2 linked regions of the Drosophila melanogaster genome follow. The protein of the gene in region 1 binds, or shares a complex with, the protein of each later gene. Each region holds a gene or a part of one and is shown on either strand. Other genes may lie near its edges. The genes, in order: CCDC53 and SWIP.

Region 1 (3,279 bases):
GTCAAAACACACACACACACGCGAAAATTGTATTTAACAATTGGTACATGCAGAATGCTTATATAATTTCAATTGTCATTACCAAGGGGAGTACGCAATGCTTGATGGATTAACCACGACCATGTGAGGATGAGATATAAATAATAACTGCAGGCAAGCTATAAACGTATGCTAAGCTATTTATTTAATTTATGCCTAGTATTAACGAATGAAAGAAAGTTACAAACAAACAAAACAAACAAAATGTTGGCGCCAATCGCTGATCCAATGGATTTCGTAGTTGAATATAAATAGATTCGCTTACCATGGATGCGTACTCGTAATTTTAATCAAGTAAATTAATAACACGATGAATGAACAGATTTAGATATGTGACTTGAACGTGAACGCCGAGCAACTCAATATTAGTTTTTAGTATTACCAATTATTATTATATTATTATTACAAATTACATTTACGTGAGCCTTTCACCGACCGACACTCTCCACAAACCTTAAAAACACCCAAAAACTTGATATTCGAAACCGACGAATCAGAATCAAAAACGATTGCGATCTGTGTACACCAAGCAAATCCTCTATTATTTAAATTACGTATTTTAATTTACGCCTTAGTTGTTACAATCGAGAATCCGAATCGCCTTTTGGATTACCGCGGTGATCCGAAACTCTGATGAGCCGATGATGAATGATAATGGTAATAATTAAAATAGTTGTGGACGACCATCGGGGGCAGCCACTCACATATACATATATATATATATATATGTATATATATATACATAAAACTATTGATTTCTAATTTTAACTGTAAATTCTTGATTTTTTATTACCGTGTATTTTTATTTTAAATAAAGTTTTACAAAAAGAAGCCCTGTGACTTGCGTCTGCCTTTTGATTTCTCACAATTCTCACAAACAGCGCACAAACTATTCAGATTCAGTGATGAGAACGTTGTAGACCAGCTGGTTCTCGTTTGCAACGGTGGCAAAAGTTAATAACTTTCACTTGGCATTTTCATTTTCGAACCGTTCTCGCTGCTGGCAGCATTTTTGATTTCTTAACTCAGTTTTGCGAACTACACCGCACAGAATTGAAAGCATTTTCGTTTCTACAAACCATTACAAATCCACTGCCGACAAACACAAGCTGCACGCATGCGTTTTGTTTCAACAAAGACCGAGAATTCGGATCAGCAATGAAATTCTCAAAAAAAAAAAAATTGCTAACAAAAAGTAATGTAATTCTCCAAACAAATACAAATACAAATAATAAATAAAACGCGGATCCGATTTGGCATTCCAACTAATACTTAAGCCGCAGAAAGCGACGCCGAGATGGGCACGATAAGCATTATTTAACTAAGTCAAAATAAAAGTTCATTGTAGATTTGAGCATAGTGAGAAGGTCCCAGGTCCTAATGGAACACCCAGCACATAAGTTTATACATACATATATAAATAATAATGTCAAAGGAAATGCATATTAACTGAACGATACTTTTATAATAAATTGACGAAGAAGTGCATAATACTCGGAGAAATAACATTCACACATTTCATGTTAAGATACAATAAAGTGAATAAATAAAATATTTAAAACAAAATGGTGGATTTGTTGTTGAATGGGTTTCTAAGCTATAACTATGTATTTATGTATATTATTCGTTTTTTTTCACTTTAAAAATGAAATTTCAAAACATTTAAATATGCACACAAGTTTTTTGAAAGAAACTTCAGTTCTATTTCATTTTTAAACTAGGCGCCAAGTTAACTGTGTTAAGTTACGTGAGAAATACCAAATTTTTGGATCAGCTTGATGTTGAGCGAACAATATTTAGTATCGTCAGTCAGCCTGGCAACCCAGAAAAGTACTAAAATAAAAGACGGCTGGTGAAAATAAAATAATGGATGCAACTGCAGCAATCACCGGCAATGTGGACAAGACCCAGGTATGGGACTTATATTCAAGGGTGAACTGCACCTGCAGCTCTCAACTCTGTTCCTCCAGATACCGCCGCTGAACCAGAAACGCATCCTGGCCTTCGTTAACCATTTCCTCGTCAGCACCTGCACCTTTCTAAATGAATTTGCCCTGGGCTGTGAGACGAAGTTCGTGGAGATGGAACGGCAGCTGCAGAAGACGGAGGCCGCCCTCATCATCCTGGAGGCCAAGCTGGCGTCTATACCCACCGAGCACCATGTAGCGACTGAGGCTACCGAAGCGCCAGCGATATCAAACCAGCAACGCAACGAAGAAGCATCCATGGTGGACACCACGGAACCACCGACCACCGAGAATCCTACGGAGCCGGAACTCCCGCCTGAATCGGTTGGTGTGCGCGCCTGTGAAGATCAACGTTACAGAAAGTTCTTCAAAATGGTGCAAGTGGGTGTGCCCGCACCGGCGGTTAAGCAGAAAATGCAATCCGAAGGTCTGGAGCCGCGTATTTTAGAGTAAGTTCCGTGGAGAGGTTTGGCCAAATTGAAAGCTCATCAAGCTCATTTCCATTGCAGCACACCCGATCTGATCCTGGCGGATGGCCAGCGAGAGTGAGCTGCCTGGCGCAGAGCGTGATCTGATCTTGTGATATAGCACATGTTGCTACACCTTGCAATTAAACATTTTTTAAAGCTTACGTCTACAAGTTTATTTTGTTTTATTTGCCGCCGTGCAGCGACGCGAAAACAACATAAAACCACTTCGTTAGCGAAAAAAGGATTTTTAATGGTGTAAAGAAGGTGCCTAGAACTGGATCATCTGTCCCTTGCGCTTCTTGTCACCGCCCAGCTCGAAGTGCTTGCAACGCTTCAGGGGAGTCTGCTTGCGGTATTTGCACTCGGTGCACTCCATACGCAGCACAATCTTCTTGGTGGTCTTGGCCTAAAATGGAATTAGAACTCCAGTTAGCAAGCGGCATACAAATGGTGGTCATGAATTCATTTGGATTGTCTGAAGTTGCCGGTGGGGCGTTGTGGGCATGGATGCCACACAACGTTGCCTTCACGGCCGCACCAGTGCAACAACAGTTTTGATCTGGCACAGTTTTTTCCCACCAAAAAGCATAATGCTCAACGAGCGCAGCGATTTAGTTCTACGAAGCGCCATTCCAGGGATTCCAATCTAGCCGCCATTAGTGTCGATGGCAATCCGGCGGCAAGCGATCCCGGTAGCATTAGACGAATGGGGGCACTTACCTTCTTCCTGAAGATGGGCTTGGTCTGACCTCCGAAACCCTGCTGTTTCCTGTCGTAACGACGCCTGCCCTGAGCTCCCTTGC
Region 2 (6,751 bases), on another chromosome or scaffold:
CGCTCCTGGAGCGCCTAGATCCGCTCCTGGAGCGCCTGGATCCACTCCTGGAGCGCCTGGATCCACTTCTAGAGCGCTTGGAACCGCTCCTAGAGCGCCTGGATCCGCTTCTAGAACGTCTAGAACCACTTCTAGAGCGCCTGGATCCACTTCTCGAGCGACTAGATCCACTTCTCGAGCGACTGGATCCGCTGCGGGATCGTCTTGATCCACTCCTCGATCGCCTGGAGCCCGAACCACTGCGCGAACGACTCGATCCGCTCCTAGAACGTCTGGAGCCACTGCGTGAGCGTCTAGAACCACTGCGGGAACGGCGAGATCCGCTGCGAGAGCGCGCCGATCCACTACGAGAGCGCCTGGATCCGCTCCGGGAGCAAATGGAGCCACTTCGGGAGCGTTTAGATCCACTGCGCGATCGCCTAGAGCCACTTCGAGAACGCCTTGATCCAGATCCACTGCGAGATCGTCTAGATACAGAGCCGCTTCGCGAACGTCGAGAACCGCTCCGCGATGCATTTGAGCGTCTAGAACCGGACCTACTGCGAGATCGCTTAGATCCACTGCGAGAGCGACGTGATCCACTGCGCGATTGCTTAGACCCACTGCGGGAGCGGCGCGATCCACCACGGGATTGCTTAGACCCACTGCGGGATCGCCTAGAGCCACTGCGGGAGCGACGTGATCCACTGCGGGATCGCTTAGACCCACTGCGTGAGCGGTGCGATTGCTTAGATCCACTGCGGGAACGCCTAGAGCCGCTGCGGGATTGTCTAGAACCGCTGCGGGATCGTCTAGAGCCGCTGCGCGAACGTCTGGATCCAGCAGGCGATCCCGGTGCTGCGCCAGAATGACGGGAGCCACTGCGGGACGGAGCGGAGCCGCTCCGCGACCGCCGGGAACCGTTTAGCGACTGCTTGGAGCCACTGCGCGAACGCCGGCCACTGGCTGCCGAGTGCACCGATCCGCTGCGGGACTTATGGGATCCGCTTCTGGAGCGGGATGCGCTCTTCCTGGTAGCACTGCGACTGCGACTACGCGAGCGATCGGCGATGGCCTCGGCATTATCATCACCATTCTTGGGTGCCGGCGAAGGAGACTTGCTCTTGCTCTTCTCTGGCAATACTGGCTCGAAATTGGTTGCGTCGGGATTGGTATCTTGAATTTCCTTTAGCTCCGCTTTTGCGGCCGTGTCTGTTGTGGTCTTCTCGAGTGGCTCGGATAAGGTCTCGGCTTCGTCGCCGCCGGCCTTTTCTGAAAATTAAGTGTATAAAATGGTTAAACAAGAATTTCCATTAAGAATCAATTTGGTAATCAACCTATTTCAGACGTTTCCATGCCGTACTAATTATTCCTATAAATTTTTAGTAGTACACAACCAAATTTGCCTAGTCAGTTGGTCAAACTGCTTTCAGGCTCAAATTAAATAATTCCTGCAATGACTTATAAAATACGACGCGATTTTATTGCTCGGCATTTGTAAGGCCAGTGGAACGAATGGAAACGGAACATCAACGCTTGTGTGTACACATACACTAATGCATACACGCTGTTTAGGGCCCTTATACACGACAAGCCTTTTGTTATCGATAACAAAACTTCTATGATAAGACATCCGAAATAACTTATTCTACAAAACATTTAAGTCCAAAACTTAAATATCAAAATTAAATTTGTTTATGGACAAAAGTCTTGTTTTAAAAATAGACTGCGACGTACAGGTATTCGTGTCAAGGAGTACGATTTTAATCCTTGGAAATCGATAACCAAACTTATAGAAATTGATTTAATTTGTTAAGTCAGAATGAAAACTAGGTATTGCATATATTCATAGTCATTACGATTATGTATTTTTACCGCTGTTTCTTGAATCAAAAATTTATATTGCTTCTTATATAAATAAAATGAATTTATTATCTGAGGATTATTTTTGCTTATAAATTGTATAAATAAATCATTTATCGGAATAGACATGCTACCAACTTTTCCATTCAATTAATCGCGATTTTCGATTTTACACAGTTTTTGGGTTTTAACTACGCTTGTTTAAACAAAAGATATCGAGAATTTAGCGTTATCGAATCGGAATCCACCCACTTGAAATGCCCCATCCCTAAATTTGCCATGAGAAAACCAAAACAATAATATTTTTAAAATTGGTAGACATGAAGGAAGAGCAAAGCTCTATGTGTATGAAAACGCCGATATCAGCTATGGAATACTATTCTTATCTATATATTTTCTATTTCAGCTATGTTTGCCGAGGATATCCTACGGGATTACGGCTCCTTCATATCGGAGCACGATGGGAAATTGAAATTATTGCGAGATAAAGTGCCTAATCGGGATGTTTCCGAGTCTGCACAGTGTGTATATATGTCGCCCGTGGTCGAGGTAAACTTTATGGGCAACGATTCCATGGCTCCGGACAGAAGCTTTGAGGAATCGGAGCTGGTGGCCAATAAACCGCTGACAACTCTGGCGAATCTGTGCAATCAGTGCAGAAATCTGTCCAGGAAGGCAAAACGGTTCCAGCTGGCATTCCTTTTCAGCGACTTTCGATTAGATGATACGCTCCCGCCACATACCCACACATCCGAGGGTTCCGCCGGCTTGGAGGGATCCTTGGTCCGCATGAGCAGCTCCATGGACTTCTTCTGCCAGGTTTACTTCTTGCTCAATCGCATGATTGTGATACTCCAAAACCTTTGGAGACAAATAGCCGCATCTGTTAGCGTCCCAATGGACATCAATGAAGTCCACATATTCGTAAGTCAACGATCGAACTCACATCTCAAGTGTAGTAACCAATTGAAGTCGAAACTTGCAGGCTGTCTTTGATGCAATGAGTGAGTTACTGGAACACATAGTGGTATTCAATGAACTGGCGAACCAATCGAAGATATCCACCATGTGGGCGCTGTACAAGAAGTGGCTGATGAACCTATCCAATAGCCAATCAGCGAACTTGGAGCTCAATGGCCTTAGTACATCGCTAATGGATATAGAGAATCTGATCACCAAGGATTTCTTTCGGGTAAGTCAAAGAAAAACGTGAATGGTAACCGCCCTTTCATGGATATTTCCAAACAGATTCTACTGGACAATTTGATGGAATTGAAGAAGCAATTTGGCCTGAATAGTGTTAGCCCCATCACCCAGCATTCCAATGCCTATATTCGTAGGCAGCTTCTCGACGTCGACGCGAATCCGAGTAACGAACTTAAAAACTATGAGGATCCCAAGCACATTATTCGACTTACCACCTTCGTGGTCGTCGTCCATGAGCTAGGCATCCAGATGGAGGGAAAACTGGTCAAGAATGTGATCGATTTGGTGGCCAGGCATAAGCAGGTGCCTCTCAACCGAAGCGTTTTCTGGTCGCCTTCCGGATTCCTCTCTCTACATGCCAAAACCCTGATGAAGTCTTCAGCCCGATCGCAAGATGGACAAGGCCCAAAAGTTCATAGCACAGTATTGGAGAAGTTTAGGCTTAGCGATCAGAGGACCTGTCGCCAATTGGGCGTCCAACTATCGCTGTGGTCCATCCAAATGCAAAGGGTATTCGATGTGGGAGTCTTTGGACACCTCAAGACTTTTCTGCAGTTGATTCTCAATGGACACTCCTATGCCGATCAAGTTAACCTGCTGGCAGTCGCGCTGATCAATCGGCACGTGGCTCTGATGACGCCCATGACCAGAAACGATTGGATCGTCGTCTCTCGGTTGCTGCAGTACCTGAAGGTCATTCAGAAGACCTTTGAGTCAAACCAAATCAATTTCGTGCGCTTTATCAGCTCACTGATACAATGGCAGAAGCAAAAGGTCATACACCTGCTGCACACAACGAAAAAGAAGATAGTTGTCCTCAAGTTGCTGCAGCGCAAGATCAACTTTTTGGCCACAATAAAGCTGGCCGAGAAGTCCATTATGGGATTTCCGAGCAAGCAACGTTTGACTTTCGTAAATCTAGCCCTCGGGGAGTTTCTAGATAATCGCCTCCTGCCCGCCGACAATCAAAAGTTGATCAAATCGATCCTACATCGTGTTAATAGTATCAGCGACATTATGCGGAATATTGGTGGACAACTTAACACGTCGGAGTCCTCGAGTCTGGTATATAATCACTGGTTTCTGGACACTTCGGTGCTTAAGGAGTACACCGAACTCCAACGCAATCCCTACTCCTTGCAGGTTGGTTTCTTACTCAGTTTCTGGCAAAGCAACTTCATGTTTATGCCATTTATCATCGGCAGAACCTCGTGTCGGTGAGCCATCATCTGGACAAGATCATGGCCATGTTCAGGGGTTCAAGGTGTCCCAAGCAATCAGCGAATGACTTGATCATTGAGTTTTTGAGCAACCACCTGGAGTTCTTTCTGCGCGTGGAGGCCCTTTCGCATCTCTTCCAGAGCCAGGATCAACCATTCCAGCAAAGTGCCTTAGACTATCGTCTCTGCATCAATGCAGTTGCAGTTGAAAACGATGGTGATTACAATATTATAAAAGGTAAGATATCGGTTACAAAACTGAGAGATCATGCCATTCATTAACATATTTTAGATCATCTTGAGAACTATTTCACTGCCACGTTCTACAACTTAACGACAATCGCTCCGCACGACTGGAAATCGTATGAAAAGATGCGTCATTTGGCCAACAAGGTGCTGCAGCTGCAACCCATCGATGACCACCTGCCCAATCAGATAATTGACCAGGTAACCAATTGAATCATCAATAAGCAATCTCTTCTATTAACCAAACAATTCTTTCCCACTTTCAAGGGCATAGACGTGCTGCAGATCATGCGGAATATACACACTTTCGCCTCCTCGTATGCCTACAACATGAACCTGCAGGTGTTCGTGGAGACGAACAGCAGGAGCAAGCACCTCGACATCATTGGCACCCGGCACGTGGCCAACTCGGTGCAGACGCACGGCACCGGTATCATCAACACCACCGTCAACTTTATATACCAGTTTTTGCGCCAAAAGTTTTACACCTTCTCCACCTTCCTCCACGACGAGCAGATCAAGTCGCGGCTGCTCAAGGAGCTGCGTTTTCACACGGAGCACAAGCACAGCAAGTCCTATCAGTCGTATCCCTATGAGCGCGCCGATAGTTTTCTTAAGAAGATCAGAAGGCTAGGCTGCTCCAGCAATGGCGAGACGTATATGGATCTTTTCAGGAAGGTTATCACACAAGTCGGTAGGTGGTTAAAGACCATAATTCAAGAAAATGCTTAAAATATAAACGTAAATATTGCTTTTAGGCAACGCTGTTGGCTATGTGCGCCTCCTGCAGGCTGGAAGCAAGAATGCCAACTTCCGGAATCGCTCGTATAAAACCAGATTCGACAGCAACTTCAGTTGCGGGGGCTCCAAAGTGCACGAGGCTACGGAGGGTTCCATCAGGGAGTACGAGAAGAGCCTGGGTCACATGAAGGAGTGCTATTCCGATAGCACAAATTACTTCAAGGTGCAGTCTACGATCTTAACAAGTTAGGTAACCAGCTTAACCCATGGATTTATATTGCAGCTTCTTCTGCAAGGCTTTCAGCCCTTTTTGTGCAATCCACATAACCACCACCTGCGAACCTTCTACCTCATCACACCGGCGCTCATCATGAACTACATTGACTACCGGGTCAAGCAGAAGCTAAAGATCTACAAAAAGGACCAGACCAAGATCTCGCTGTTCGAGGATGGCTTCGCCATCGGCCTGGTCTACATCCTCAACATGCTGAACCAGCAGACGGAGTTCCATGAGCTGGGCTGGAGCCAGACGATCACGCAGCACCTGAACGCGGAGCGCTCCAAGGTGCGCGACATTTTGGCGGGCCAGCAGCGGACGGCGCCGGAGCAGCTGGACGAGAAGCTTCACCAGACAGTGGCGATAACCGAACGACATGTGAACGCCTACGAGCATGAATACAATCTATTGTACGCCACCTTGAGTAGCTCCGAAATATTCTTCCAATAAAATATGTCCATTTACCAAAACCAAAGATCCCAGCAGTGACAACAAACAATTGAGTAGTTGGTTGCCGTTTATTCAGATTTATTAAGACGAAAATACAATTCCGATTCCGGTACATAGCGTAGAACGTTGGTATATATATATATATATGCAATTAGATAATCAGCATTACTAATACTATTATTAGTAGTAAGTAAGCCAACATCAAAAGATCAAACATTTTTCTAAGCCCCTCTCGACTCTTGTCGTCTCATTGTTTTTCTTCTTTGTTTTTTTTTTTGTGAATGGAAATGTTAAAGTTACAGATTTAATGCATATTATATAGCCAATTGAACGCTTTCTGACATTGGTGGGCACTAATTCTATTCACTTTTGGCCCCCACATACAATTGATTGGCCAAAGGAAACCCAACATGTCTATTGAAAATATGTTGGTTTGTTATGTATTTTTCTCGTAATATTACAGTACAGTAATTGGTAAAAAAAAATGTTTTGGAGAAAATGCAAATGGTTTTCGTCTTAACAGATTTTTCTTCTTGCAATGTTGCTGTTGCTTTTGCATCGCACCTTCTTAAAGAGAACCAGAGTTAGCCACAATGATCTTCTTGGAGGTCTTGCCAGACTGCGATCCATAAGATTCGATCTTCTTGACCACATCCAGTCCCTCGACGACCTCGCCGAAGACGACGTGCTTGTTGTCCAACCAGGCGGTCTTCACAGTGCAAATAAAGAACTGGGAGCCGTTCGTGTTGGCGCCAGCGTTGGCCATCGA

Evidence for each region.
Region 2: CCDC53 (region 1) and SWIP share a complex: the UniProt entries of both Drosophila melanogaster proteins name them as parts of the WASH complex.

Annotation. Positions count from the first base shown.
Region 1 is NT_033779.5:8,039,244-8,042,522, forward strand, and holds CCDC53 (Coiled-coil domain containing 53), read left to right. Parts: upstream 1-1,862; 5' UTR 1,863-1,905; coding exon 1,906-1,950; intron 1,951-2,009; coding exon 2,010-2,455; intron 2,456-2,515; coding exon 2,516-2,555; 3' UTR 2,556-2,636; downstream 2,637-3,279. Other genes in the region: RpL36A (ribosomal protein L36A), read right to left, coding at 2,745-2,882, 3,197-3,279. UniProt on the Drosophila melanogaster protein: Acts at least in part as component of the WASH complex which may regulate wash nucleation-promoting factor (NPF) activity and is required for its membrane targeting during endosomal sorting.
Region 2 is NC_004354.4:16,311,632-16,318,382, forward strand, and holds SWIP (strumpellin and WASH-interacting protein), read left to right. Parts: upstream 1-2,077; 5' UTR 2,078-2,187; intron 2,188-2,248; 5' UTR 2,249-2,250; coding exon 2,251-2,766; intron 2,767-2,827; coding exon 2,828-3,034; intron 3,035-3,090; coding exon 3,091-4,191; intron 4,192-4,253; coding exon 4,254-4,506; intron 4,507-4,560; coding exon 4,561-4,715; intron 4,716-4,781; coding exon 4,782-5,208; intron 5,209-5,272; coding exon 5,273-5,478; intron 5,479-5,538; coding exon 5,539-5,982; 3' UTR 5,983-6,119; downstream 6,120-6,751. Other genes in the region: CG9915 (uncharacterized protein), read right to left, coding at 1-1,251, 1,317-1,335; Cyp1 (cyclophilin 1), read right to left, coding at 6,551-6,751. UniProt on the Drosophila melanogaster protein: Acts at least in part as component of the WASH complex which may regulate wash nucleation-promoting factor (NPF) activity and is required for its membrane targeting during endosomal sorting.